4 linked regions of the Xenopus tropicalis genome follow. The protein of the gene in region 4 purifies or fractionates together with the protein of the main gene of each other region. This does not show direct contact. Links are inferred from orthologs where the notes say so. Each region holds a gene or a part of one and is shown on either strand. Other genes may lie near its edges. The genes, in order: strn, rap2c, strn3 and map4k4.

Region 1 (7,906 bases), on a different chromosome or scaffold from region 4:
TGAAATAATACATAATAATGAAGACCAATTTAAAAGATGCTTAGAACTGACCATTTTAGAACTTCACCTAAAAGTGAACTACCCCTTTAATTTATAAAGTAACAAATTTACAATTTATGCGGCCTGGCAATATGAATTTATTAGAAGTGCCCCAGATAAATCAAAATATCTAGTATCCTTACCATAAGGAATAAATACACCAAAAAATCAATTTTAAAATAAAGAAGGTATTTGAAGAATCCAAAAAATTACATTAACTTTCATATTGTGCCATAAAACTTATTTCTGGCTAAACCACAATGGAATATCATGGACAATAACTGCAAGCTCTGCTTCTAGATTCATGAAACCACTCACTGCTACATCAATGTAGACAAACCTGAGTGTATGGACACTGTTCCTATGGTGTCAATTGTTGGGAAATGGCACTTAAAAGAGAAGGAAAGGTAAAATCAGCAAATGTTAGGCATCCCACAGTGATTGTAATCACTTACTTGATTTTTTTGGTTTAAGTTTGGCTTTTCGCTCTACTGCGCATGCGCAAGAGGCATGAAGAAAGAAGAAGGAAGAGAATCGCTCGCAGGTATCCCAGGTCGGTGCAGTTTCCTGCTAAAAGAGGCACTGGCCCGGGGTAACAGGTAAGTGATTACAATCACTGGGGGGAGCCTAACATTTCCTTCTCCTTTAAAAGAATCAGACACTGCAACAGCAAAATCAAAATCGTGTTTTAGGTTTTATTTGTGGAAAACTGACACTTTATGAATCCATCTTTTAACATTTGTGACCAGTTTATATGCTTCCATAATTGAGGTAGTATTACTGGACAATATTCAATGATTAGTATCTGTTATTTATACAACACAAACACATTACACAGCGCTTTACAGAGATTATACATCATTCACATCCCTCCCCCAGTCGAGCTTACAATGGTCCCCATACACCATAAGATCCGCTCTCTTGGCGATGTTGCCAAGCGAGCGGATCTTCACCCGATATCCCCCACCTATGGATGGGCGATATCCGGAGAATTCGATTGTTTGGCCATAGGGCCAAACGATCGAATTATAATGACGGGCAAAGGTAAAGTCGGTCCGGGGTCCGCATCGGCCCGATCCAACTAGATTTTCTAACCTGCCCTATGGCCCATCAGGCCCGATCCCGTCGGAAGTGCCCGAATCGGTCCAAGGGACCGATATCGGCAGCTACTATCGGCCCGTGTATGGGAACCTTAAGTCTCTATCATATTTACACACAGTAGGGATCAATTTTATCAGGAGTCAATTAACCTGCCTATGTATCTTTTGAAATGTGGGAGGAAAAAAAAGCACCTGTAGGAAAAGTGTTCTCAGGCTCAGGGAGAACAAGAAGAACTTGCAGATTGTTTCAAAGCTGGAATTAATCTCAGAATCCCAGCACTGCAGGAAGTGGTACCAACTACTAAGCCACCATGATGGGATATTTACCCCTTTAGTAAAAGCTAAAGCTGGCCATACACGTTTTGATAAAATCATATGAAACCTAGTTTTGTACAATTTTCGGACCGTGTGTGGGCTCTGAATTAGCATCCAATAATTTTCCTACCATGGTGATTGGTCATTTAGTCAATTAGTCAGGTTAGAAAATTTCTGTCCCCTAACTAAAAAAATCTGTGCGTGTATTGTATTGTATAAGGACGATATCCTTGAGGGACCTAAAATGGAAGTCATTTTTTGTACAATTGGTGGCCGCCAACTATTTACTGTTCTGAACATCCTCCGATTTGTATTTTAAAAAAATGTTGTTGTTTTTTGCCAGAACCAAAGTGCAAACCATAGAGTAATCAAAATGTATAAGCCATAACTACTTGGTTCACAAAACCGATATAATTGACAGGATCCTATAATTGACAGGATCATGTCAGTACTATTAGTAAATAAGGAAAGCTCTATTATTTTCATTTAATTCCCTTTAACACAGTCCCAGCCCAGTTGTAATTGCAGGTCTGATACTGACTTGAGAGCATAGAGTTGGTTGTGTCAGCAATGCTAGGGTTGGGGTGGTGAGATCCTTATGTAGGCTGGAGTACTGTTAACATTTGTACACGTAAAGACAGAGTGAACATAATGTATATGGATACCAGTGTAACAATGTATACATAAATGTAACATGCAGGAAAGTATTGGAATTCTTGTATTGTATGTCTGTTCTTCTCCTTTAAAAGTAAAATACTAGACCCCATCCAAGAGATATTTGTTAGTGGAAGTGAAAAATTATGTGTAGTGTCCATAAACTTTAACCCACATGCAGCAACAGCATGACTGATGATGGTTTTATTGTATACAAAGTCAATCTGAGGTGAAAGGGGTACATTATTTTTTTTAAAATTTTTTATAAATAAGATTTTGTGGATGTATGCATGCATGCAGTATGAGCCAATGGGCTGACGTGTCTACATATCTAGAAACTTCAGTAACCTCCATATGTAGGGCAAGAGCAAGTTCAAATTAGTTTGTGATCTGTTTCTGTGTAAACAGAAGCCAGCAGTGGGTCCATTCCATTTCCATTTGAAATATACCTAACGTAAGCTTACACATATGGCACACATGACATCACTGTGCACATCATACATGTGCTAAATACTGAATAGATGGTGTTTCAATAAAATGGAGGTCAACTTATGTGTGCCGACAGATAAAAGCATGTGTAAAATTACCCACATTGCTTAATGACAAAGAAGATTCCAAGCAACTTTCCAACACCTATTATTCACATTACAAAAATTATTTGCAAATGCAATTCCAGTCCAAAGCTACAGTTCTGATTCCTAGCCCTGAAACATTGTAGCAGATGCTAATTAGAAGATATGGGGGAGAACTGACTTCTGCGACATTGTTCCAAAAGTCAGAACCAGGGAACAGCAAGGGATAAACACAAACCGCTATTTTTTTTTTATTAATGAATATTAGGAAATGACTGTACTTTTGCTTTCACTGGGCAAAAAAACAGTTCATTGAGATCTTTCTTTACCCTTATGACTGTCAATATCTAACATCACAGAATGACAAATGAAGATATTGTAAATAAGTAATGATGATGTTCACAAGTCAGAACTGTAGAAGCTTACAAACACAGTTCAGGTGTTCCCATGATATAGAATGTCTGGGTGTGATCTCACACATACTGTACATGCCTGATACTGTACATGCCTGTGAGGGTCTCCTCCCACACATCATATTCCTCTCGTGTATAAATGGGAGCCCTGGTTTCCATGGCCAGTTGGGCTCACACACTCAGATATAAGGCTGCCTGCTCCTGGGCTCACAGCCTACACAGGCACACATAGCTCACACAGGCACATATGGCTCACACAGGCACATATGGCTCACACAGGCACATATAGCTCACACAGGCACATATAGCTCACACAGGCACATATAGCTCACACAGGCACATATAGCTCACACAGGCACACATAGCTCACACAGGCACATATAGCTCACACAGGCACATATAGCTCACACAGGCACATATAGCTCACACAGGCACACATAGCTCACACAGGCACACATAGCTCACACAGGCACACATAGCTCACACAGGCACACATAGCTCACACAGGCACATATAGCTCACACAGGCACACATAGCTCACACAGGCACACATAGCTCACACAGGCACATATAGCTCACACAGGCACACAGCTCACACATGCAGGCAAGCTCTCGCCAAACTCTTGTACGTTTCACATATGGGAATGTAGAGGTGAAAGTGACAGACGCCTGGGCTCAGTAGCAGCCCCCAGCCTTACCTGCATCTCGGCTCTTTCCACTTCCCACTGAGCTCTCTCCACCTCAAAGCGAGCCCACTCATGCTGAAGGAAGTGCAGGATGCCAGGGATACTGTACTGGGCCCTACCAGCCGTACCAGCGCTTCCTCCTCCGCCTCCCCCGGCCACTGAGGCCGCATCTGCTGCACCAGCCTCGAACCCTTTCCCGGCACCACCTGGGCCAGCACCAGCGGACAGCAGCGAATTGTTATTGTTATTGAAAAATACGCCGGGCCCCGCCTGCTCGTCCATGGCCGCCCTCCGTGGCAGGGGCCGCGGTTAACAGCGAGGGGCCGCCACCGATGGCTCCGGAGAGGGAAGAAGGGAAAGCGAGCGCGTCCACTCCGCAAGCAAGCGATAAGGTTTGATTATGGAACGGTCCTGTCACGTAACATACGTCCTGACCGCCGTCCAATCTCCCGCCCCTACATCCACCGCAACCCGGGCTCCGCTGCCGCCCACACTCGAAGGAAGCCAGGCTGTCGCTGCTGTCTGGGCGGGTCTCCTGCCACTCTGACAGCGGCTAGTGACGTCACGCAGCCCAAGCGTTCGGGACCGCCCTTCCAGTCGGGCTTCCTGTGAGAAGGGTTTTTTTTTTTTTTTCGGTCAGCTTTATTTCATAGTGACATATATGGCCGTGTTTTTTCAGTTCAAGCACCCAGAGATCATATCGTGAATGTGATAATGATCGGCCATGTTTTAGGCCATACCATTCAGTGTGAAGTGGAAAAAAATCTCAACCTAATGATAGTCAGGGTCCCCCTAGACTCATAACACGGGTATAGGAAAATGGCAGGTCAGCAGACATCAACTCCAAAGCTTTGCTACTGCCCAAGGAATAACTGAAAGAAGGGAGGAAGATAGTGTTGTGGTACTGCACTGGAAAGGACCAGTCCACAGGTAGTGTCAGACCAGTGTAAAAAGTAGGCAATTTTATTCACTGGGATGGGTAACACGTTGGCACCCCCATTCTCCTTTTATGAACTAGCAACATAAAAATATATCAAATTATTTGTTTAAATCAACACATCATGTACTATTTATATTTGTCTGAAGCAAAATATTCTAGCTTTTATTCCAGTGTTTGTGCTGTGTTTATACATCTTTACCTGTTGCCTAATGAAAGCCCCCTTACAACATATCTTGCTCAATGGAGTGTTAAGGTGGAGTGTTACATGGGCCCATCCCACACATTGTCCAGTTGATCAGACCATACACATACTATACATGAAATCGCCACCTTACTGTTGTTCTGGCTATCTGCTCCACTCATCTGCACATGTGCTGGGCACTAGCTCAAATGGTGCAACAGAAGATTACATTTTAACAACTGATGAACAAAGCAATATCTATAGTCAGCCATGTTTACTCCCCTTTATTTCTCAAAAGTCATCCTGATTTAACCCCCCCTCCCCCCGTCTGCAGTAAAGGTCGCCATACACTGTAAGATTCGATCTTTTGGCGAGGTAGCAAAGTGAGCAGATCTTTTCCCAATATGCCCACCTAAAAGTGGGCGATATTGGGCTAATTTGATCATTTGGCTTTCTCAGAGAAGTCATTAATATGTATTATGTGCATTTACATCAGACACAAGAAATTAAGTGTGATTTTGCTTAAAGAAACAGATAAACTGGGCGTCAAAAAAAGTGACACACAAAACCATTAGTTATATATGTTCTTGCTTGACTTTAAGGCTAGAATACATCAAAAATATAAGACCAGTGTATTTATTTACAGATTGGTGGAGCACCACTTTGTGTTATGGCATGATGCAAATTGGTAAAATAAAGTAATAGAGACGGCAAAGTCCCTGTCTCTCACTTATTAATACAGACATAGGTAGAGGGGGTACATGTGCATGCACAGTCATCCCAACAGCAACCGCTACTGCTCCCCCTCCACATCCTGCCCATGGCTGCCCCCTGCTCCTAGTCTGTAGCGGGCAGCAAAGTTTTAGGAAGGAGAGGGTTTTTATTTTTTTTTTTATTAAAAATTTCACAAGAAAAGAATAACATAACTCAGACTAACAAGGCCCCGCCATGACGTCACCGTACAGACTGGCAGACATGGGTAATGCTCACCCATTTTTCTCATACTGCTGCTGCTACTATGTATAACTACTCTTTAGGCCAGACACCAGCCAATTATATATCAGACTCTGAAAAACAGGTTCAACCATATACACCCATGTATCACAGTTCTAAACACAAATCCACCACTCTCCACCCACTTAAGCATTCAACTGTACCAGCACATTTTCAACAAACTAAACATTTTGTTATCTAATTGCGTTTTCAGGTTATTGATTCAATGGAGATTTTCAGAAACGAGGCAACAACATACTGATGTGAAATGAACTAAAGATGCAGTGGATTAATAGACTGCATAGTCCATCACATGGTCTTAATAGAAAGTTGTTTTTTTTAAATAGGTGTATAGTCTTTGACAATATGGTGTAATGATATAGTGGATATCTGAAGAGGCCTTAGACAGTCCTAAACATTGCCTTTTTGTGTAATTTTGAAACCGAGAAAGCAGTATCCACTAATTGCACACATCATCACAAATCTTTCATTGGAAAATGAAAAGTAAACCTTCTAAATGAATATGGCTAGAAATTCCATAATCCTTTATAGTACCCATGCCTTTAAAGTTGTCTAACAAAACTAATAACTCTCTATAATAACTATTAATGGGGCGGTTCACCTTTAAGTTATCTATTAGTATGTTATAGAAGGGCCAATTCTAAGCAACTTTTTAATTAGTCTTGTTTTTCATAGTTTCTGAATTATTTGCCTTTTCAGCTTTCAAATGGGGGTCACTGACCCCTAAGCCAAAAACGATTGCTCCGTGAGGCTACAGTTTAATTGTTATTGTTACTTTATATTGCTTATTTTTCTGAAAATATCAGTCCGTATAAGGTAATTCTGAGAAGCAGTATTGGAAACCTTCTACTCCTCCTTCATCTGTGGCTTTTGTAAGTTTCTTTTTTTAGGTCTTCAGGAGATTCCACATTCTCAATACCTTTTATACTCGTGAGTCACATTCAAATGGAAAAAATATTGGGAAACAACACAAGCATGGAAAAAGTTCCTGGGGGTGCCAATAAGAGCTATAATTGGCTATTTGGTAGACCTATGTTAACTGGAAGCCTACGAAGGCTCTGTTTGGCATTATACTTGGTTTTTATGCAACCAAATCTTGCCCCCAAGCCTGGAATTCAAAAAAGAGAACTTGCACTGAGGCCACGGGGAGCAACATATTGCTCACAAACCACTGGTTGGGGATATTTTCTACTTATTTTTATACTAACCTGCACGTCTTTTGTTGCTATCAGCATAAAAAGACAAATTCCAAACAATTCTATCCACTCAAGAACAGCACTTCCACTTTGAAAAGGGTAATCCTAATATAAAAGAAATATTACTATAGTTGGTTGCCAGTATATGTACTCAGGCTCCTATTTTTAAATTATAGAAAGATAACAAGCATGCAGTCAAGATCTTGTATTCTGCAGCATAATAAAGAATAAATAAATAAGAAATAAGAATAAATAAATGAGAAATAATCTCACTGTAAGGGTAATATGTTAAGGAAAAACAAAATAAATGGCCCTTTGTGACCTTGCTTTTGCACTTACATGCTAATTATTATGCTCCCTTTACCCTCGGCCCCTTCTGTCCTGGTTTTCTCCTTTCATCTCCCCTTTTCTGAATTTTTTTTTTGTAATTTGCCGTTTATGCTTTCTATCCTCCTCTTTTTTGTAAAATCTTTATTTTTTGCCATTAACTAAGAAGATATTTTAGGGGGGTACAGAAAGCAGGGGGGTGGGTTTACAATTATCATGCACTGTAGAACTAATAAAATTTATTCTGTTTAAGACATGTAATTCTAGAGTCCTGAGCATAAGTAACCTTGTTGGTGGATTAGTACTTGGAGAAAGGACGGTAATTAATAGCAGGGGAAAGAACGTTTACAGTGAACAAAAAAGGTGTTGGTACTTGATACTTTTACTCATTCGTGAACAGCTGTGGTAGGGCTTTGTATTCCCTTACGCAGTTTCTAGGTAGGTATCCCATGGTAGCCATGTTTTTTGG
Region 2 (7,852 bases), on a different chromosome or scaffold from region 4:
ACTTTGTGCCCGTTAATGGGGCTACATGGCTATATAGCCCCAGTGGATGACAATAAATCATCAGATTTCCTTCGCCTGCATGTGCTCCTACCCTATGGATAATGGCATACATCATTTTATCTGCTGGTGTATTTATGCCAGCATTGAAAAGCAAATCTGCTGCCTTCTGCTCCCTAAGTGTGTGTGCACTGAAGGGTGTGTGGTATTAAGCAGTTTTCCACAGACTAAACCACCCGCCAGAAAAATGCTGTGAGTGCCATTAATCTTTAGTTCGCAGATACAGCACTGAATAAACTGCAGGGAGAATATAACCCCTAGTTACAGAATTTAGCCTGTACGAGTTACATTAACTAAATCATATTCTGATGAAAGCCTCTCCCTTAATTCCAATGATGGCATATTTTAAATTCAATACTTTAATTTGGCATAGCTTACATATTGCCTATCACAAAGCATTTGCCATCTAAGCTAATTCTATGAGCTATTGGAATATCTGCTTAAAGGAAGAGTAACACCAAAAAATGTAAATTTAATTACAAGTAATTATAATATAGTGTGGCCCTCAATGATGAAAGTAGTTTTTTTTAGAACACTACTATAGTTTATATAAAATAAGCTGCTGTGAAGCCACGGAGGCAGATAACAGATAAGTTTTGTAGATCACAATGGTGTTTAACTGTTATCTGCTATGTAACCTGTGCCTTTTCTCCCCCATGGCTATGCAGCTTTGTTTACATAAATCTTAGTAGAGTTGTACCAGTGCAGGACAACAGTACATTAAATTGTAATTAATTTTATACACTTCATGTTTTGGCATTATTGTTTGTTTAAAGCGGTTTGCTTACTGACCGTACCAAGGTATTCTGTTGGGGGAAGAAAAGTTAAAGGGAGGGGAGAGCTTTAAGCATGAGCTAACCTAAATGTTAGAAAAGAATAAAAGAAAAAGCTGTTCAGCTAGATTTCTTGACATTTACTTATGGCAGACATTATGGTCCGGTGCAAAAAAACAAATCCAACAGGTATATTTTGGTTAGACACAGGTAAAAGGATGTCAGGTCACATCCAAAACTAATGTTTTCTGAGCAACTCAGAAATAGCAATAAATCTGTTAGAGGGGAACTAATTGCCCCTACTGTTTCTTTCACAGAATGGCAGAGTAAGCTGATCAATGGAAAAACCACTAAAAAATACATATTGCTCTGAAAGAAACTGCAGATTGTTGCTGCTGTACAAAAGATCAGTGCTGCTGCCAGGGAGTGAGATGCTGGGTAAACAATATCTTGGAAGATTTTATAAATAAACCGAAATAGCAAAATAGATTAGCTTCATAAATTACATTAAAGGACATATAAAGCATACATTCGCCTACAAAGTATATCAGTTGGGCATGCCTCCCACACCCAAATGGCATCATTTGTACTGCATATATCCCCTCCTTTTGCCAGAAACATCACATTTTCCTAAAACAAATAGTTGGTGGCCATTTTCCCTGACGCATCATCAGTGACATTTACATCTCCAAACAGCACATGTGTGATGTAACATTCATGCAATGAAAAATGCAGGCTTACACAGACAGAACTTACTTTGATTAAAAAAAAAAAAGTCCTGCTTGGATTGAGCACTGTAGCAGACAGCTAGAGCTGAGTTTCTATGGGAACCAGCAATATAATTTCTTCACTGGCTGCTAGACTGGAGAGGGCGTGTTTATTAATCTGAGCCGAGAAAAGCTGAGTGTGCTCAGTAGCCAACAGCCATTGTAAATTCCTGAGCGAGGGGGCTGAGTGGGCTACAAGAGGATAAGGAATACTGTGATTAAGGGGATGTTGCAGCCTTACTATTAATTTTTGAAAACCAGAGTGGCAAATATTTAAAGATTTCAAAGAGGCTGTTTACGGATTATATTTTTTTGTGGGTGGTTTATATGACATTTAAACATTTAATCTAAACAGTTACCATTTAATTGCATGAAACTGCCAGTTCTGGATTGCTGAAATGTTACTCTTTTTAGATTAAATGGAAATCTATGTAAATGAGTTTATGAACACACAATTGATAGAATTGATATATATTAGTAACAGATTTATTACAAATTGTTTAATATAAATATCAAGGAATTAGAGTTATGCTTTTTGTAAACAAAGTAACCCTAAAGAAGAAACAAACTTAGGGCCAAATGGTCCAATTAAAACGGTGGGCATAGGTGTCATCAGACCAACGACCGCATCAATGAGCCGATGTGTTTCCCAATCCAACGGAGAATCAAACCTGCCTTATCAATGTCTGGGCGATTTTAGGCCAGATGTCGGTCGGGGATGCCCATACATGGGCAGATAAGCTGCCGAATCTGTCTAAAGGACTCAAATCGGCAGCTTAAATCTGCATGTTTATGGCCACCTTAACTGAGCATGCACAGTTCTTCTCAACTCATTACCAGACATCCCATCCAGTCTAGCAGCCAATGAAGAGATGGCACTGCTGGTTCCCATAGAAACTCTGTTCTAGCTGTGCACTCTGCTGGGGAAATGTTTTTCTCTCCTAACCTCCTCTCCTGAGCTCAGTTTAATCATTACAGTGCTTAATCCAAGCAGAACTTTTTATAAAAGTACTCTTAAAGAAGAGATGGAATATGAATAGGAGAGGGCCTGAATAGTAATAAAAAGTAACAGCAATGAAATTGCAGCCTCACAAAGCAATAGTTTTTTTGGACCCCATTAGGAAGCTGGAAAAAGTCAGAGAAAGAAGACAAATAATTAAAAAAACTATAAAATATAAGTAATGAAAACCACTTGCAAAGTTGCTAGGTATAGGCCATTATATAAGATACTACATTTTAACTTAAAAGTGAACCATCCCTTTAATGACTCTCTACATAACTACAGAGTGAAAAACTCTTATACAAAACAGGCCCTACATTTGTCAATAAACAGTATATTAGGTGCTGGATGAACATTAAATGTAAAAAAATAAATCCCTTTATGACTTACTGGTCTTTTGACACAAGAAAACCATAGTAACTATGAAAAAAATATTATACAGTGGCCCTACTGTAAATTCCAAAAATATTAGAAATCTCCAAAAAGTTATGTGACCACAAAAAGAAAGAGTCAGAAATAGCCTTTATACAGCTCACATACTCTGAAAACATTTAACTTCTGATGTATAATAACAGTTATAGGGCTTGACAGACCCAAAGTGAGATATTTATACATGTACTTCCCTGACACACAGCACGTATGCCATCCCGTGGGTGGCCAAATTGGGCAAAGATCCACTCGCTTGGCAAACTGGCCAAACTTGAATTTTCAGCATATGGCCAGGTTAAAGGGGCAGTACACCCTCTTCTTCAACATTAGATCAATGAATATGGTTTGTGGTTCTAAAAAAGTAGCCTGGGGCTATTAAACACATAAAGCCTTTGATCTCCTCTGAAATCCTCTTAGCTGCGCTATGTTATTATACTGAAACAATAAAGATATTGGATTTTTAAATCCAAGGTGCACAATTTGCTTTTTGTCAGAGGATATGGTTTGTGGTGAACATACTTTTTGCCTGTTGCTTTAATTGAGAAATTGTTGTTGTTTAAACTAAATTTGGCAAAATCTTAAACTGAAATAGGTCATACTCTACTTTTGTTCTTCTAAAAGCACACACCAAAAATCCACTGAGAAGCCTTCTGCATAAACAAACCCCTTCCCCGACTGCAGTCTTTGTGAGAAGAGCAGCTTATTATACAAAGGGCCTCTTAGCGGATTAGTGATTTTTTTCTCAATTGTGCTTGTATAAACAGGAAGTAGCATGTGACATTACTCGATTTTAATGCTTACTCTCTTTAGCCAACACATATGTCTTAATTAATAGGAAAAAAGTATGTTCAGCACAAGCTTAACTAATCTTAAGAGGTATGCTGCCTCTGTAAGTGCAAAGCAAAATCTGGCAAATCAGCAAGATTTCTATAACGTAGCAATGGGTGTTTCTTTGCATCACTATAGTAAACTATTTAAAAATTCACTGACATGTAACATTTTCATTCATACTTGGCACTGTATGTGAAGGAACTGGTTATCTCACCTGGAATGACTGTTGATTTACCAAGCTGTACACCAAGATAAAGCCCTGGCCATTCTTAATGTAAAGATCCCTCATAGAAGCAAACTGTTCTGTGCCTGCTGTGTCCAAGATCTCCAGCACAGAGGGTGATGAGTCCACCTCAATTTCTTTGCGATAAAAATCCTCAATTGTAGGATCATACTTTTCAATAAAGGTGCCCGTAACAAACTGGACAGTTAGGGCTGACTTCCCAACCCCACCACTGCCTAACACCACCACCTTGTACTCCCTCATGGGCTCGGACAAGTGGGGTCACACAGCACATACACCACGTCAGGTTGGAGTGAAGATGGGGCTAGTGTTCTGACTTAGGATCCAAGTTGGTTATATCCTCCTGGAAACAGTGTTGTTATCTAGGGAGACTGTTGAAATGATTCTGCTGGATGATTCAGAGTACAAAAGGCAGTTCTTGCTTTGCACAGCCTACTTTGGGTCCAATACCAGGAAGCAGTTCAACTTCAAATGAGAATAGTAAGGTAAGTTTCTTTCCTGAACTGTCACAGCAGAACTAATAAGAAAAATACAGACAAACAAACAGGTTATCTATTCAAAAAATGATAAATGGTATATTATGGAAGTAAGCAGTCATGCACATACCTAGATTCCTGCTATTTCAGAGTATTACTCTAAACAGGAAATGAACAACCACCCCATTGTTTTTGTCTCTACATTTACAGGCACAAGTTATATTACTTCCATAAAGCAGGACATTCACAACCTAATAATTAGGCCAGAATTACAGACTCTTTGCCCCATTAGCCAGCCATTTCGTAGGGGCAATTTTGGTTGATATGATTATTGATGCCTCTGCCAAAAAAAACCTCATTATTTCGAGCCCTGTTCAGAAATCAGTAGAGGAGACAAATATTCTGACACCCACACATGGGCAATGAGGCTACTGACCCAGCAAAAGAGACCAAGTCGATAATTACCCATTGAAGTGAAGGGCAACAAATGCATCTTTTCTGTATGTACCAGTACAGAGGCCCCTCTACATTAGTACAAGCATACAAACTCTGAAGGCCTCCAAGCATAATCCCCAACAGTCCAGCATTCCCCGGACACTCCCTATTTTCCCAACACAGCCCGCAGTCCGGATGGCTACTCACACGTCCCGCAAAGCTGTTGATTGCAAGCTCCTTGCCGCCTGTCTTACAGGAAATCCCAACGCCACAAGTCTCATCACGCGAGACTGTGGCGTCACGACTACACGCAAGCGCAATGACGCATCTCGTAGCCGCCTGGTTGGAGTGAAACGCAGGGATGGCGGAAGTTAGAGATACACAGTCGGAAGCAGCTAAGAAGTGGAAGTAGGTCCACTCACAGACTGGTTTGCTCTGCTCGCACCTCCTACATGTGTTAGAGAACAGAAAAATACTTTTTTTTTTTTTTTTGTGTTGGTTGCCGCCCTGCCCACAATGTTGCCTCAGAAGGCATTTATATTTTCTGCTGAGAGCATAAGTAGTATGCGCCAGGGAATTGAAAAATAAAACATTTTTCTATTAGTTGCCAGTAGTACTTGCTGCCATCAGAGCTGCTTCTCCAAAATTGATTAAAAAGGAAAAAGGTTTTTTTTTTGGTCCTCGTGAAATTAATGATCTTTTTAGTATTTTTTTTTTGTAGATGGGCCAGGTTTTCCACATAATGGCTAATTCAGGAGCAGTCAATGGGTGGAAAAATATATAAAAAAAAACTAACCCTACGTGTTTTAGGATGCTGTCTGAGGGTGCTGCTATTTTTGTGCAAACAAGGGGCAGATATTTACCAATTAGGGTGAAGACACACTGGGCTACTAGTAGCAGCTACTTTTTCAAGGCTACTAAACTCCAGAAAATACCCTGCCATAGACAATACTGAGAATTGCATCTGCTAAAACACACGTAGAGACAACTATCAGTAAATGATCTGCATTGTCTAGTTCAGAAGCCACTACAAGTAGCTGCTACTAGTAGCTCCATGTGTCTTCACCCTTAAGGGATAGAACAAGGGCGAGTTTAGGAGGAGACAATGGGTGAAATTGACCAAAACTAATTGGTTACTCTTGTTTCCTCTGGTCCTTAGCCCTTGGGGACACGGAGTGGTTTGTTTACTGCATTTTCCTGTCAGTCTAAGAGAAGCGGATCCACGTCTATACGTTGCTCCATGTGCCTGCACTGAAAACTACAGCTCCCACCTCAGGGCAGCACACAGAGCGGAGTGTAGGTCGGCCAGAAAACCCCTGCTTCAGCACTTTTTGGGCCGACCTCCACTCCTGTGTGTGCCTGCCCTGAGGTGGGAGCTGTAGTTTGCAGTGCAGGCACACGGAGCAGTGTATGGAAGATCCGCAAACTACTCTGTGTTCCCAGGGCCTGAGTGTGCAGGTTCCCTGTCCACTTTGCAGAAAGGGCATTTGTGAAGACCAGTGCTGGCACACCAGTTAACCATAAACAGAGTTTTAGTTATTTTCAGTGTTTTATGTTAAGACTAGGTCAATATTTTTAGCAATCTAGGACCAATGTATGGGCTAATTAGGATAATTTAATGGGTACCAACATTAATCTTTAGTTTTTTTTTTTTTTGTTAATGGTGGCATTACAGGCCCCAAGACATTTTTCCTGGTTTCCAAACGTACCTGCCACCATCAGAGCCCTTTTTCCCACTTTGGCCAAAAATGAAGTTGTTTTTGTTCAAATCAGGGCCAGGTGAAATTAAATATTCTTAGGTAGAAAGGCTTCTTAGCTGCAAGTGGCTGTGCATAATACTAAGTCTCTGACTTTGGGGGTACCACATGTTAATCAGGAGAATGATGGAAACAAGAGTTCTGTAAAGAAAATAATTTTGTGAAATTGTTAACTTTATAGGCATTACATCCCTTAAACAAATTATGAAATTGCATACTGCCAGTCAGCTTCCTGCTGATTGGCTCAGATCCACATTCCTAAGGGGGTGGGGAGTGAGTTCTTAGCATTCTTGAGGGAGGGGGGAGCAGTAGAGAGGAGACAGCAGAGAGCTGCATATCTCTGGCACATGAATTACAGACACAAGGAATCTTTTCACAGAGAAGTCAGTGCAGCATTTCTGTGAGTGCTTATGGCTGTATTTACATAGACCTTTCTGATAAAGCTTACTTAGTTTTTACCTTTCTTTCTCCTTTAAAGGAGAAGGAAAGTCATTTTGGTATTTTACTGCCAATAGATTTGCCACATTAGTGCCACCTAGAACACTATATTTATTCTGCAGAAAGCATTACCATACCTGAGTAAAGAGCACTAGAAGATTTCTCTGTTTAAGATAGCAGCTGCCATTTTAGCTTGGTCTTCATAGCTTCCTGCTGCAGCTTTTGCCCTTAAGGCTCAGATCACACATTCCTAAGGGAGAGGGGAGAGAACATCACAGACTCTGGCCCAGGGAATGAAGGATTTTTCTGAGAGAGGAAGTCAGATACCCAAAGAACATGTTTACAAAATAGGAGACAAGAAATCTTGTGTTTCTTTTTATAGAGGACACAGTGCAGCATTTCTGTGAGTGCTTATGGCTGTATTTACATAAACATTTCTGATAAAGCTTACTTAGTTTTTACCTTTCCTTCTCCTTTAAATTAAACATAAAATCCAAATTCCTATTTTTATTAACACATCCTTAACCATTATAAAGGCATTTAAAAATCCCAGCTGTCAATCATATATTGCCTTCCCAGCCTCTATGCCTGATTTTTGCTTTCCATTCTTATGTAGATGTAGATGTCACTGCAGTCCTCACTTTC
Region 3 (8,039 bases), on a different chromosome or scaffold from region 4:
AAGTATTTATTGGTAGATCAGTGCCAATTAATGCAATTCTCTCACCAATCTATCAATTTTATTCTTACAGTCTCTCATTCATTCTAACCAATCCACCTAAAGCAGTCTTAGCACAGTGAAGCACCAATATTACATGTGCATTTTACAAATTTATTTTCTGGGGTCAATTTCAATACATCTTAATGTGTGCTTTTCACGTATTTAACACCAGCATGCTAAGCAAAGCCTGGAAGTAACTGCTTCTCAAACCAGATGTTCCATTGTGTTTGTGTGCCTTGTACTTTGCACCTTTTATGCTAATGTATGCAACTCATCAATGCAGGCTAAATTGGCACATTGACACTAGATACAGGAGTGGGAATATAACCAGGTAGCTTTGAGAATAGCATTTAAGTGCAAACATTTAGAAATCAGAATTAGCATTTATACTGCCCAAAAAATGTGGTTCTCTGAACTACATAAATGCAATATATGTACATGGGCAGTGCCTCCTCGGGCTAACACTTGTCATACATGCCAAACCTGGACATGTGTAACATTTAAATTAACTTACATTTATAGTATAATGCACTTGTGAAGAGAATGGATCTCACAGTAAGTAGAAGTGCACTAGAAGAGAGCAGAATACATTGAGACCAGTGCTTGACTTATCTGCATTCATGGCTAAATTGCACAGATCAGAATGTGGATAAAGCTCTTGAATACGGAAAACTTATATATTGCTTTATTCATGTGATTAAGGTGGTGATTTATTATGCAACCGGTGTTTACACCGGTGTGGGGATGACAACTGAATACAACATGTTCTCTGTAACAAGATCTATTTGTATCTTCTTACAGGTTATCTTATTTATTTGTTTCCAAACAATGCCATGTCACAGTCCTCCTTGCAACATTTGTTACATACTCCGGTTCTTTAGCAAAACATTGAACTTGCTTCAGAAAAGAGTTTCCCCTTTTCTCCACTATATTGAAGAACTGGCACATACACGTAAGGCCGTGTTATCTTGGCAGGGCATGGAGAGGTATCAATCGGGAGATATAGCATTTGCAGTGTAGCTTTCATCAGGCATAGGGCAGGTTTCAACTGCTGCAATTCTCCCTGAGAGGCAACCAAACCTATTCCTGGCCCCTTAGTAATGAAGCAGTATAAGAGCTACAGAATGCCAGCCATGATGATTCCAGCACAGCAGGAATGCTCGGAAACAAAACAAGCCACATGTTCCGGCTATAGGAACTGGCCCTGTGCACAGGCCAAGCTTACGCCATTCCTAACATATGAATAGGATTTTGTAATGGTATCTGCCACCGAGGGGATTTGAGTTTGTCAAGAAACAACAGTTCTTTTACTGCAAGAGCAACTGCAGCTTCTGGGATGGAATCCTATGAAATCTAAAAGGCAACATAACAGCAAAAATGAAAAATGTTTAAGAAAGCGCAATCCTGGAAAGTGATATAATAAGAGATATTTTAATATGCTTGTGTTTTGCTTGTTGCGTAAATTAAAACCTTAGATTTGGTTTTCTCACAGCACCAAGGTTTTGTAAATTGTACTAAATAATAAAATACATAGAGGTGTATGTTGACTGTATACCTGTAAGTTGTCACCTACACTAAATAGAGGCATAAGCTTGCCGTTACTGTTCATTTAAGTCCCCTGGATATTTGTGCCTCCAAAGTGATTTAATTTAGACATGGAAGGTGATACGGTTTGTTACTGAGGGCTGGAGCCTGACCCACTATCACTTTAGCAAGGTGATCTCACTTGGTGATGTTACAATTATTTTCAGGAGATGACACTTCTTAGGGCCTTGTTTTTTTGCAATATGATATCCAGTAAATAGTATGACAAGTCTTAAGTGTAGTCGCACAAGAGAAGTGTTAACCCCTGTGCAGCCAATGAGTGGGAATTTAGAGAAACCCACCACTGACTGTAGAGTTAAAGCACAAGAATGTTCTCAGACCTGCCTTACATAGATGAAAGCCATTGCAACCTGGCAATTTGTTGCTATGCGGGAAGTACTTGTGCAACTACATTTGCCCAGTGTTAAATTGGACGCCAGAAGTTACAGCACTAAACAAATGTGTATGCAGTGTTTATAATACAGGTAACACTTGTCAATTGCAATCAAAAAGTGCAGAAATATATTGAAACCTAGCATTTTTTTAAAAAGATTTCTGAATAACCATTTTCACCTTATCAACTGTCTATCAGGAAAATGAAAGCCCAAATGACTAGTAAGTGTAAAATGGGCCTAACAGCACAAACTTTTTAGACCTTTCTTACTAACAGAGTTAAATTTGGGAAAGAACTGGTGAATGAAAAGGTTTGTACAAGTTGAGTAGCTGAAAGCCTCCTGGGTTTCCAGCAGCTGTTGGGTCTTCTCTCTCTATTGTGACTGCCCTGGATAAGGTTATAGCATATGGTGTCATAAAGGCTAAGTGTAACACACTGCTGCTGATTCCCAGCACATGGACACCCTGTTGGACACTTACACTTTACTGCCAAATGGGAAGGATCATAACTGTTTCTTTGAGTTTTACAGAAGTTTAGATACAAAGTAACTAGTAATCTGATTGCAATGGCAGCATGGAAGTCAGGACTAGAATTGCTAACGGCTTGATCAGAAGCGCCGCCTTTTGCTAATGTATCTTTGTAACATCCAAAGGAACTCAAATAGCAGCAATATTCTGCACAAAGGGAACACAAAGTCATACAAACTGGGCAAATGCCGAGCGAAACACAACTAATCAATACTAGCCAAAGTCAGAGAACCTCAGAGCCTTGTGAGCAAGGCAGATACATCACCTGCTTATAGAAGGTTGCAGTTCTAGATTTATAAAAATTCTCCCAATTCTCCTAAATGTGACACTGGCTACATGTAGAGCCTGCCAACCCTCACCATGTGCCTTGCTTTCTAGGGATATAGAAATAGAACTAATCAGTATTAACAAAGACAAACATGCCATATTACAATAGAACCCCTGATTTTATGTACCTGGATTTAACATTTTCCCATTATTGATAGTTTTTCAGTTTTCCCATACAAGCAAGTGGCGTCTTGTTCCCCCCCAGATTTTATACCATTTTGACACCATCCACTGGGACATGTAAAATCGGGGTTCCACTGTATCCTGATTAGGCTATTCATTGTCAGCCACTGAAAATTAAGCAACAATTAAGCTATTCTTGATTGATATAGTATCACAAACATCTTAGTGAATACCCCAGTTTCAGGACAGTTATTCACATACACACACAGTTAGCCAACATAATAAAAGGAGCACCACCACCAATCAATTCCAGCGTACTAGCACTGGGATAGAAACAAAAGCTCATACATGGCCTTCACAATTACACATACCTACCTAAGTCAGTAGTTAAAATGTGAATAGAGTTTTTATTCACTGCACTTAATTATAACATGTTTAATATAGGGTTTATAAAAGGTATGGGCAGAATAGACAAGAATGCATAGGATTAGATCAAACAATGTGTGGATTAAAGTAAAGTTGCACTTGAAAATAAAGGACGGGCATTTTCATTACCTGTGAATACAATAGGATCTTAGAACAGGATGGACCTGTGCAACCAATGGAACACTTTATAAGTTTAAAGACCTATGTAGAACAATCTGCCTGGCTCAGACTGGGCACTAGCCCACATATAGGCTATCCTCACTCACTGTGGTGTAGCTCTGCTACTTTGAGATTTGGGGAATAAGTCTAATACAGCTTACAATCCTATCTGTCACCCTGCAAGCCCACTGGGGTCAGCATGACCTGGGCAGCTGAAGTGAGGCAAATGAATGCCTGCAGACAAGATCACTAGGTGCCGGCCCTGGGAATGACAGGAGCAACAGGGCAGTCACTTGGCCCAGTCATTACAGTCCAGTTACCCACTGTCACTGCTCTGTCCTGAGCTGGAGAGGAGAGACAGGCCTTCCCCAGGGGGAGGCTGCTAATGGGAGCAGAATGTCGGCCACGTAGGCCCCTATATAGATAAAAAGAAAGGTTCCATGGCATTGCAAGAAGGTTGGGCTCTCAATATGTGGGAGGGTTGTCCCACCTGGGCCCTATGAACGCTGCAGAACTACAATTCCCAGCAACCCCTGGTCAGTGGTGGGTGGGACGCTAAAACCCAGCTAGAGGGCAACAGATTGCCCCCCTGATCTGTATAGGGACAATATCTGACAACTGTTACACACTTGCAATTCTTCCCCACAAGGGAGCCATGAGATACTGGGGGTCCAGAGCAAATGCCCTCTCTGCCCTACCCTAAAAGCGAGCCTGCCAAAATGGCGACCTGAAAGTAACCGAGCAAGGCCCCGCTTCCTGTCACTGCATTCCCCCTGGGCACCTGTGCCGGACTCCCCGCAGCTCATACACAGCCGGAGTGTGCCGGGGGTGCGGGGAGATGTAGTTCAGCTGGGAATGAGGAAAGGCCAGAGACGGGTGCGAGTCTGTAGGGGGCGCCACACTGCCATCCCGGTGGGGCCCCCCGTCTCTCCCTATTGTTCCCCGGACCCCTCACCTGCAGCTCGGCCTTCTCCACCTCCCAGTGCGCTCTCTCCATCTCGAAGCGGGCCCACTCGTGTTGGATGTAGTGCAGGATCCCGGGGATAGTGTACTGAGGGGGGCGGCTGGCTAGCTCACAGCCAGGCTCAGATGGGGCTCCCTGGGACTGGGCCGGACCCACGGCCTGCAACCTCGGAGACGCGGCCATTCCTCCGGCCGCCGGGAGATCCTCCATCCCGCCGCTACCAACCCTCTCGCAAGGACTCCGCTACAAGTGACGCGTCCCGTTAGGGGGCAAATAGCTCCCCGGTGCCAGTCAGGAGAGAAGCAGTGAGATGGAGCGGCCGGTAACTCTCGCCCCCCCGGAGGGGAGCCCGCCGCCGTCCCGTCTATAAGTTGCGCACAAGCGCACTCCTGATATTGCCCATTTGTTATCTGTCACTTCCCCCCCGGGGTCCGGTAAGCTCCGCGGGGCACTCTGGGAAACACCGGCCTCACACACCGCCTCCCGCTGACAGCGTCAAGGCGCATGCGCGGGCCTAGCGGACTGACGTCACAAAGGCAATATGCGTCACGTGATCCCCGCCCCGCCCAGAGGGCTAGTAGTGACGTAGTTCCGCATGGAATGGTGACAGCCGAATGCTACCGGAAATCATTGTTGGTTAGCCGGCCGCTCCACTGATGGGATGCTCCCGCCTTGAACGGGTAACCGGCCGTCGCTTTCAGGTTTCGTTGAGTGGCTGAGAGATTTTATTCGCCGGCCCCTGGAGCCGTGATCTAAATAGAAACGTGTTTTATCAGCCTGAGGAGGGTTTAGCAAATGGGGAGCCAATTAGATTCACTGTGCACACACTACATACAGTATGCATACAGTAGCAATGGCCACCTCGTATCTACAGTGAATTCAGTAAGCAGCTTCTGCCTATCCTTGCCTGTGCCATTGTTCTCTCCCATAGCCTGCAGCCCGCTATTCCCTAGGCTCCATGTGAGTTTCATGCCAGTATAAATACGTTGCAATAGTATGACTTGAGGCTTGGGATACCGGCAGCTTGTTGGTGCTGGCCTGAGAGTGTTCAGACAGTAGGGACTAAAAAGTGGTAAAGGGATGGGGCAGAAAGAATGCCCTTAGTCTCCTCACTGGCCCTGCAGATAAATGTCAGTGTGGCCCTTGGTCACCATGGCCACTTCCCATTCACAGGCAGGGGGGCTCTTGAGTTCAGGTATTGTGGCTGGCCGGAGGTACCCCAGTCCAACACTGGTCTTATTTCTAAATATTCTCATTTAGAAATGTGGTCAGTAAGCTGCAAGTTGCAGCCAATCAGAAATCCCCCTATCTGTATCCCACCAGATCCCTGTAGTTTCAGGCTGATAATAAGTGAGCTCCTATTTCCACCTTACACCTTTATGCTGGTGTTTGGTACATTTCAGTTCAAGATAGTGCTAAATCCTCTTGCTCCATCAACAAGCAAGGACCTTAAACCATGACACAAGAGACACCCTTTGTTGCCGCTATAAGCATCTATAGCCTGCATTGTACATTAGGACATCTAACCTGATGTTTTATATACATCCTTTCCAGCTCTGGATAGCAGCTCGTCTGTAGAGATGATCAAGTTCTTCCTCATTGTGAACAAGCAGGGACAGACCAGGTTGTCAAGATACTATGAACGCATGGAAGTCCAGAGACGGACACTGCTGGAATCTGACGTCATCAAATTGTGTCTGTCACGTTCCAAGGATCAGGTGAATACTGCGTTATGGAGGTTGTAGGATAGTGACAATCCCTGCCTCCTTACCTCCCCTTTTATCTGTTTAGATGGAGCCTACCCTTATTTTCCCTTATGCACACACTCTGGGTAGATGTTGATATTGCCTTATGGAGTGAGGCAAAATATCAGGCCTAGCCCAAAGGTATGTAATCAACACACACTGTTTGTTTACATTTTTAGCTGGATGGGGCCCAGGCTGCTTTATTGTTAATACCCCTGTGTAAATATTACCATTGTGCCTCTTTGCTACTCCTTGGCAGTTAATGGCAGATTTTACTTTATACATTTATTAAGACCCTCACAATTGGAGCAATAGCAATGATCAACCCCAGTAAAACTTCTCTTGATCTTTTAATCTTTGGATTTTCTTATGTTCTCTCTCCTAGTAGAGAAATAATACTTCTTATCCTAATTCTTCTCTTCCCATCAGTGTTCCTTCATAGAGTACAAAGACTTTAAGCTGGTGTACAGGCAATATGCATCTCTCTTCATTGTCGTTGGAATCGATGAATCTGAGGTAAGGTGCTGGTTTAAATGCTTAAAGCGATACCAACGTGTTCCTATGAAAATGCATAGGAACATATCAGCATTAGTAAAGAGTTGTGTCATGAAAATATTTGTAGCCAAAGTCCCCTAAAGCTGTTCCCAGCCACTCCAACATGGCTAAAGGCTCCTCAGCAGTTGTGTCACCAATGCTGGGTGGGGGTTGGTGCAATTTTTTCATAGGCCAGAGTACTGTATTCAGTCAGAGTGACTGACATAACTGCAGAGGAGCCTTTAGCCATGTCAAAGTGTTGACTTCAGCAAGTATTGCTGGGCTGGGAGTGGCTTTAGGCTTAAGGGGACTTTTGGCTAGAAGGATTTTCATGCCACAACTTTGAACTAACACTGACACATTTCTGTTGATTTTCATAGGAACATGTCAGTATGACTTTGAGGGCTTAGAAGGCTCTGAAAGAAGGCTAAGCCTCCAAGTATAGTAAAAAAAAAAAAAAAAAACTAAAAAAGTTTGGGATGTCCAACCTGGGCAATGATGGACAAGGTGTTATGTCACAGTGTCAAAAGGTCCAAAAATTCCTTCCCATTGTGGATAGTGAAAATCAGCAATTTTTATTACTCGCAATGGTGATACATTTTTGGGCAATTTTTTCACTGTAACAATATGCCTTGCCTGTCATTGCACAGGTTGGACATCCCAGATTTATTGCCCTAAATGAAGGTGCTGGGGCAGGATGTAGCCTTCCAGTGGATGTTTATGTATAACATCCTAATTTTAACGGAATTTGGCTTAAGAGATTGTTATTTATCAAGTAACTTAGCAGCTGAATGGAAAAAGCCGCACAGTACTGATCTTGCCAGTGAACATTAACCCGTTAGTGTTGCCTAATGGAAAACCGTTCTTCCAGCTACAATAAGAAATCACATGTATCATAGGTTTATGTTATTATTAGGGCCTAGAGCATTTTTACTGCTCCACTTCTGTCTTATGTGCCTAATCCTCTAGGTGGGAAGTTCTTATTGCAGGACCCACTGACCCTGCTTTATTATATGTATGTTTGTAGTGTATTGTAGAGAACGCTCAAGTCTTTTAGCTTTTATAAACGAGTGATAATATTCATGTTATATCTGTCTGCACTTTCCATCTTTGTAGAATGAAATGGCAGTTTTTGAACTCATTCATAATTTTGTGGAGGTTTTGGACAAGTACTTTAGCAGAGTGGTGAGTGTCTATTAACTATGCCAGTACATCAT
Region 4 (7,266 bases):
TGGGATCAAGTACAAGGTACTGCATTATTATTAATGAGAAACTGTAATAATTAAAAAAAAAAAAAATAATTTGACTGAAATGGAGTCTATGGGAGATGGCCTTTCCATAATTTGGAGCTTTCTAGACAGAGTGTTTCCAGATAATGGATCTGTATCCACCTAGTCCTAAAACAAAGAACAAAAAGTGATAATATAAGTATGAGGTTTCACCTATACTAGGCAAATGTCAGCATGGTCATTTTGGGGTATAGTATATAGTTGAGTTCCTTCAAGCTAAATGCACAATGCTGAGTAAAATTTCCATCCTGTAGTTTTCAGTTGATGAATGGTACTGCGAGCTGCAGGTTGAAGATTCATGGCCTAAAAGGTGGGGCAGGGGGTAGACACTGGATTCCTTGTTAAATATGGTCTTGTATTCCACAAAAGCTTACAAACTTTATAACTGTAAACACTGGATGGCATACTCCACAGCCTCTCAGGTTATATTTACAGAAAAATACGTAGAGCAGCAAATGGCAAAGGTGTATCTCCCATAGAAGTTCACCGTACTCCTTTAGGACTATGCTGAAAAATGCATACTGTTTCAAACGTTTACTTGGACTTTTCCTACAGATTTTTTTTTTTTAAAGGGGGTGGGGCTGTCACCCCAGAGAGATGTTCATTGCATTTCAGAGATCAGTGTCTGGTCTGCAACTCGACCACGGTTAGTAGCCCATTTTATTGCTATCTACAAAATGGATTCAATGACGAATGATACTGCACGTTGCAAACGATCCCTGAATAACGAGTTTTTAACCGAACATCTCGTAGAATGCAATACACCCTTGTTTTAATCATTGTACAGGCAATTCCAACATTCCATTGTACAGGCAATTCCAACCGAGTGGCTAGTAGTTAAAATCTAACCCTTAACAGGAATCTACTGTTCTTCTTTCTAATCCTTACCCTTGGAGGCACCTCGTCACTGTCTGATCGAGCCCAAACCCTTTGGGTTGGCTCAGAGATTTCAGACTTAGGGTCAGAACCCTGACTTTGCACTTCACTGCGTGAAGTTTGGTGCGAATCCTGAGATCGTAGAAGGTGAGGTGCAAATTTGGGAGAAGGGTCACTGAAGGAATGGGATCGCGAGACAGGGGATACATTGTTCTTGAGGGATGCCAGATGAGACCACTGTACCTTACAAGAGAACAAGACATAACACATTTAAATGGAAGCTCTTCATATTGGGTTCTCTCACTAAGCTCAGCTAAGGGCAAAACAAAAAAAACAAAACTGGGACTGACATAAGACGGCAGAGACAAGTTTTGTAATGAAAAATGGTTTGAAAATGGACTGAACTGCTGTTAATGTGTTATATAGCATATGATTGCATGCAGTAACAGGATTTAAATGAGCACCAGTGCCCTCAAAACATTTCACTAGCTTCAAATAATCTCTTATAATATCTATTTTTTTTTTAATAATAATTTATACATTTTGGTATAATCTATGGCAAACTATAACTTAAACATCTCTTGTTTCTATGTGAAAAAGAATTCTAAAACAAAGACTAATATTCATATTTATTTAAGTAATAAATTGAGCTCTGTATATGCAGCAAGCGAACATCAGTAAGCAATTCATTGGTATAAGAAATAGCCTAATTAGCCTTAATTTACCTTTACATTTACATAATAAAGATATTTTCTCCTATTTATAAGCCTTATTTAATAAAAATTAAGTGGGAAACAATTTGCTTTAACATTCAAGGATTTCTACTATTCAACACTAGTGCCATTGACTGCAACGAACAGTAGTAAAAGTTCCAATAATAATAGTGAAAAAAGTGAAAAGAAACATAACAATTATAGGAAAAAACATCTTTTAAAGCTAAATTTTAGGATACCTGTGGTTCCACTGGTCTGTGCATGGCAGGTTGAGCAGGCTCAGAATTTCCATTGGAAAATGATTCGGATCTTGAAGGCACTAATGGCTCTAAAACTCTTCCTGGTTGCTTAGCCTGGGCTTCAGGGGAGCCTTGGTTTGCTTTCCTAAGGCGCTCCTCTGCCTGAACCACACAAAAACCAACCAAACATTGCAACAGAGTAGATGGAAAATTCATCCCTACCCTCATATAACTTGATAATGTGTTTACAACTAAATATTATACTGTGTACAAAAACATGAAGCATTTAAATTAAGGAACAAGATCCCGTTTAACATGAGCTCAATTAATTGGGATTGTGCAGAACATACCTATTGCCTATTGTTGTAATTACCAAAATCTAATGTTTTTGTTATTTCCTGACATAAAACAAGGCAAACAGGGAACCTGAAGCTACTTCATGTTTGGCCCTTGTGAGGTAGATAATTAACAGTGAGGGAGATCTTTATTAATATTATACAGTTGCAAGAAAAAGTATGTGAACCCTTTGAAATTATATGGATTTCTGCACAAATTGGTCATAAAATGTGATCTGATCTTCATCTAAGTCACAACAATAGACAATCACAGCCTGCTTAAACTAATACCACACAAATAATTAAATGTTTCCATGTTTTTATTGAACACACCATGTAAATGTTCACAGTGCAGGTGGAAAAAGTATGTGAATCCCTAGACTAATGACATCTCAAAGAGCTAATTTGAGTGAGGTGTCAGCCAACTGGAGTCCAATCAATGAGATGAGATTGGAGGTGTTGGTTACAGCTGCCCTGCCCTATAAAAAACACACACCAGTTTTGGGTTTGCTTTTCCCAAGAAGCATTGCCTGATGTGAATGATGCCTCGCACAAAAGAGCTCTCAGAAGACCTACGATTAAGAATTGTTGACTTACAGGAAAGGGTTATAAAAGTATCTCCAAAAGCCTTGCTGTTCATCAGTCCAGGGTAAGACAAACTGTCTGTAAATGGAGAAAGTTCAGCACTGCTGCTACTCTCCCTAGTAGTGGCCGTCCTGTAAAGATGCCTGCAAGAGCACAGCGCAGAATGCTCAATGAGGGGAAGAAGAATCCTAGAGTGTCAGCTAAAGACTTACAAAAGTGTCTGGCGTCTGCTAACATCCCTGTTAGCGAATCTACGATACGTAAAACACTAAACAAAAATGGATTTCATGGGAGGATACCACAGAAGAAGCCACTGCTGTCCAAAAAAAACATTGTTGCACGTTTAAAGTTTGCAAAACAGCACCTGGATGTTCCACAGCAGTACTGGCAAAATATTCTGTGGACAGATGAAACCAAAGTTGAGTTGTTTGGAAGAAACACACAACATTATTGGGCACATTTACTAATCAACGAACGTCCGAAAAGCGTCCAAATGCGTTTTTTTAGTAATAATCGCTTTTTTGCGATTTTTTCTGTCGCCGTCGGGCCTTTTTCGTCGCCAAAAAATCAGATTGGTTTTTCCGACGTTTAGAATTGCTCAATACGAAAAAATTGAGACGGCGAGGAAAAAGTCGCACAAAATACGATAAAGTCGTGACGTGTGCAAAATATGAAATAAACGCGACGGCACCGAAAAGTTCACAAAATTTTCATTTCCAATCAGATTTTTTCACATTCGGGAATCAGATTCGTGGATTAGTACATGTGCCACTATGTGTGGAGAAAAAGAGGCACAGCACACCAACATCAAAACCTCATCCCAACTGTGATGTGGTGGTGGGGGCATCATGGTTTGGGGCTGCTTTGCTGCGTCAGGGCCTGGACGTATTGCTATCATCAAAGGAAAAATGAATTCCCAAGTTGATCAAGACATTTTGCAGGAGAACTTAAGGCCATCTGTCCACGAGCTGAAGCTCAGCAGAAGATGGGCGTTCCAACAGGACAACGACCCAAAGCATAGAAGTAAATCAACAACAGAATGGCTTAAACAGAAGAAACTACGCCTTCTGGAGTGGCCCAGTCAGAGTCCTGACCTCAACCCAATTTAGATGCTGTGGCATGACCTCAAGAAAGCGATTTACACCAGACATCCCAAGAATATTGCTGAACTGAAACAGTTCTGTAAAGAGGAATGGTCAAGAATTACAGCTGACGGTTGTGCACGCCTGATCTGCAACTATAGGAAACATTTGGTTGAAGTTATCGCTGCCAAAGGAGGTTCAACCAGTTATTAAATCCAAGGGTTCACATACTTTGTCCACCTGCACTGTGAATGTTTACATGGTGTGTTCAATAAAAACATGGAAACATTTAATTATTTGTGTGGTATTAGTTTAAGCAGACTGTAATTGTCTATTGTTGTGACTTAGATGAAGATCAGATCACATTTTAAGACCAATTTGTACAGAAATCCATATAATTCCAAAGGGTTTTCTTGCAACTGTATATTCACCAACTATATACACCAATTCTACATCTATTATACCTATTTTACACAACTCTATAAGTACATTTTAAGTACACTTGATTACAGTAAAAATAAATACATATCTCTTATCTCACTAACTTGGAAGAATTGCAAGCAGTGCTGCAAACACTAATAATAAAACACTTAAAATTTTTCTCTCCCTAATGACCAATTTTAGTGTGATCTGACAAAGCAAATTATCATAAAGGTTAGTGAGCACCTAACAGTAATACATCTAGCGATTTTGCATACGACATCAGTCAGAAAACTGATTGGGCAGGTTTGAAAATTTTCGTTGTTGACAATTGCAGTTGTCCACTGTCCAACTCCTAGTTTTCCTAACTTTAACTAGACAATATCATTTGAAATGGTCGTTTTCGTTAATGGACAAGTCATACTTTTAAACAATCGTTTCAGGATAAAAATCTTAACATGTATGGCCAGCTTTAGTTTCAGTGCCGGTTTGTCTACAGAAGAAAGTTAATCATGCTAATCAATCATTCATTTAGTGATAGCAAATGTTTCTGGATATGGACACATTTTAAGACAAATATTGGAAGCTGTGCCACCATGCAGTTTAGCGCTGTGGCAAATATATATTTTAGGGACAATATCCCTTTAAATAGAAAGCAGGTCATGGCAGATCTGCAGTTTCATCCATCAACACATAATGTAAACATTAGAATGGAGAACAGAAACAGCAGCAGTACAAGGCCTGAACTGTAAGCAAGCATATACACTGCAGTAAACCCCCACCTCTCGTATTCGTTCTGCTTGTTCATAATGAGGCTTGGGTTCTTGGGTATGGTATGTTTGCTTGCTCCTTTCCTGCTGGGACAGTGGAGGCTGCTGGGGCTGGGGCTGCTGTTGTGGTGGCTGCTGCTGTCTATGATCATGCTGTAGTGACATGAGATAGGCCTGCTCTTGCTGCAACTGACGCTGAAGTCTTTCAGCCTGGCGGTGCTCCTCCATTTCACGCCATCTATACTCCTAAGGGTTACAGGAAAGGTCATAGAAAGTTTTTACAAGAATAAACAATACAGGAAGACATTAATACAGAGTATATTCATATATACATACACACAGACAAAAATAGACTGAATGATACATAAAATGATAATTGTTGCTAAAATATAATTCTCAGTATGATAATGTACAAATGCAAATCTCCTCTACCTCTGTTGCCTTTTTTTGACATACTGGGAGTGTTAGTTCAGCAACAAATGGGGGGCTATTAGTTGAAAAACAGTGTTTTTAGAGACACAGTACATTCTCAGAGATACTTTAGTAATTATGGTTATTTGTAATGGTAGCTTAGAAATTCTGAATTGTGTAACCTGCAAAGAATCATATTTACTCTTAATTATTAAATGCCTCTAATCACACAGGGCCTTTCAAACTTCCTCGCGTCAGTACTACTAGCTATTTATTAGAGCAGCTAAAATCTATCAATGAATAACACATTTAATGTTCATAAAATATTTTGCAAGTAAATGTGTTCCACTAGAGAGCAAGCTAACCCCATGTTATAAGAGAGGCGTACAGCCTCATTCCTTCTTAGCTGAAACATCTGGTCTGAGCATTCCAATTGATGACAGCCAAAGTTTGTCAATGGATCTGGATGGTAAGAGTTTTGGTTCAACAACAGCTGGGGGGCTTCAGGACAGACATCTGACTTGCACTAGATATCATGTTACAAACGCATCAGTATGATAAATGGTTAGCAGAATGTTTCAAGGGCACTTTTCCACTAAACTGATCAATGTTTCAGTTTACTGCAGTTATAAGGATAACAAACATTACCCTTAATCTATACAATAGTATAATGATATACAGCACTAAAAGTCTTGGTGGGGGCATACTTGGTCTGTTGAATTAGCATGCAAAAAGGATGACAGTTCTATTTGCACATGGCCCCAGATAGTTCAAAGTGTGTCAGATGACTGTTCAGGCTCTACAGAGGGCAAATATCGAAATTTCTACTTGCAATATCAACTGTTGATCAAAAATCATTTAATTCCATCAAGATGACAAATTTGGTCAAAATGTGTAAGATTTTTTTTTTTTGTAAAAGATGCCATTTGCCTATTTGGGCAACAATGGGGTGGAGAGTGTCCTTGTAACTTTAAACCTTTAGGAATTACTGTATTGCAAAGAATATTTCACTTAACATACCACACAAGGATAATCCATGGGCCGCATATGTTGCTTTTTAAGTATGAAAACATGGCTATTTGATTTGATTCCTAGAAAGCTATGTTTTAATCAGGTTCTGCATAATCCACTGATGCATTTACATCTAATCACATTATACTGTGTTGTTCTGGGAACGGCACTTTAATATAGCTTGGCACTTTCTACATAACTGGAATTGACAATACAGCATTTGTGGGTTAATATACCTTTGATATGCCACACAAACACATTTCCACCCCACACATTTGGGTTAAAAATTCAAATTAGACATCACAAGGAGAGTTCACATGTTATGTGAGTGCACCCAGAAAATCTGAGTGTCTGTGCTTGTCAATCTCCATTATGTGACAAAACACCTCATAAACTGCCTATGGTTGTTTACACAGCTTGTGCAGCTGCACTGAACAAGGCTGGCTTTTCGACTTGTTAGTTACAGCACCAATGACTGTCAAAGAGCTTTACCAGTAACATGGCCTGCTCCTGAAGCAGCTGCTGCTGAAGGATTTCTAAGTGCCGCTGCTCCTCCTCCAGCTGTCTTCGGATATACTCCTGTCACACAAAATTTCCTACAGTTATTTTTCTTCCCCAAAACCTGTTGCGATGATTTAATTCTAGCAAAGCACACATTGCCTGAAAATGTGCTAGGGAAAAATTCTACACTTCTACACACCTACATTTCCTATGTATGTATGCTTTTGACAGTACTGCCCATTTACTACACACAAAAAATGTTTGCA

What was found.
Region 1: the proteins of map4k4 (region 4) and strn purify together in Homo sapiens (affinity purification with mass spectrometry; 4 studies listed by BioGRID and IntAct, with this or other methods). This does not show direct contact. The link is inferred for Xenopus tropicalis from reciprocal best matches to the Homo sapiens genes MAP4K4 and STRN.
Region 2: the proteins of map4k4 (region 4) and rap2c purify together in Homo sapiens (affinity purification with mass spectrometry; 3 studies listed by BioGRID and IntAct, counting the BioPlex papers as one, with this or other methods). This does not show direct contact. The link is inferred for Xenopus tropicalis from reciprocal best matches to the Homo sapiens genes MAP4K4 and RAP2C.
Region 3: the proteins of map4k4 (region 4) and strn3 purify together in Homo sapiens (affinity purification with mass spectrometry; 4 studies listed by BioGRID and IntAct, with this or other methods). This does not show direct contact. The link is inferred for Xenopus tropicalis from reciprocal best matches to the Homo sapiens genes MAP4K4 and STRN3.

The regions. Positions count from the first base shown.
Region 1 is NC_030681.2:49,993,473-50,001,378, reverse strand, and holds the start of strn (striatin), read right to left. Parts: upstream 4,151-7,906; 5' UTR 4,062-4,150; coding exon 3,792-4,061; intron 1-3,791. UniProt on the Homo sapiens protein: Calmodulin-binding scaffolding protein which is the center of the striatin-interacting phosphatase and kinase (STRIPAK) complexes.
Region 2 is NC_030684.2:67,492,310-67,500,161, forward strand, and holds the start of rap2c (ras-related protein Rap-2c), read right to left. Parts: upstream 4,619-7,852; 5' UTR 4,345-4,618; coding exon 4,072-4,344; intron 1-4,071. UniProt on the Homo sapiens protein: Small GTP-binding protein which cycles between a GDP-bound inactive and a GTP-bound active form. May play a role in cytoskeletal rearrangements and regulate cell spreading through activation of the effector TNIK.
Region 3 is NC_030684.2:113,224,418-113,232,456, forward strand, and holds the start of strn3 (striatin-3), read right to left. Parts: upstream 5,048-8,039; 5' UTR 4,754-5,047; coding exon 4,535-4,753; intron 1-4,534. Other genes in the region: ap4s1 (AP-4 complex subunit sigma-1), read left to right, coding at 6,124-6,261, 6,718-6,804, 7,939-8,007. UniProt on the Homo sapiens protein: Calmodulin-binding scaffolding protein which is the center of the striatin-interacting phosphatase and kinase (STRIPAK) complexes.
Region 4 is NC_030678.2:110,577,029-110,584,294, reverse strand, and holds part of map4k4 (mitogen-activated protein kinase kinase kinase kinase 4), read right to left. Parts: intron 7,079-7,266; coding exon 6,992-7,078; intron 5,324-6,991; coding exon 5,090-5,323; intron 2,048-5,089; coding exon 1,886-2,047; intron 1,177-1,885; coding exon 946-1,176; intron 1-945.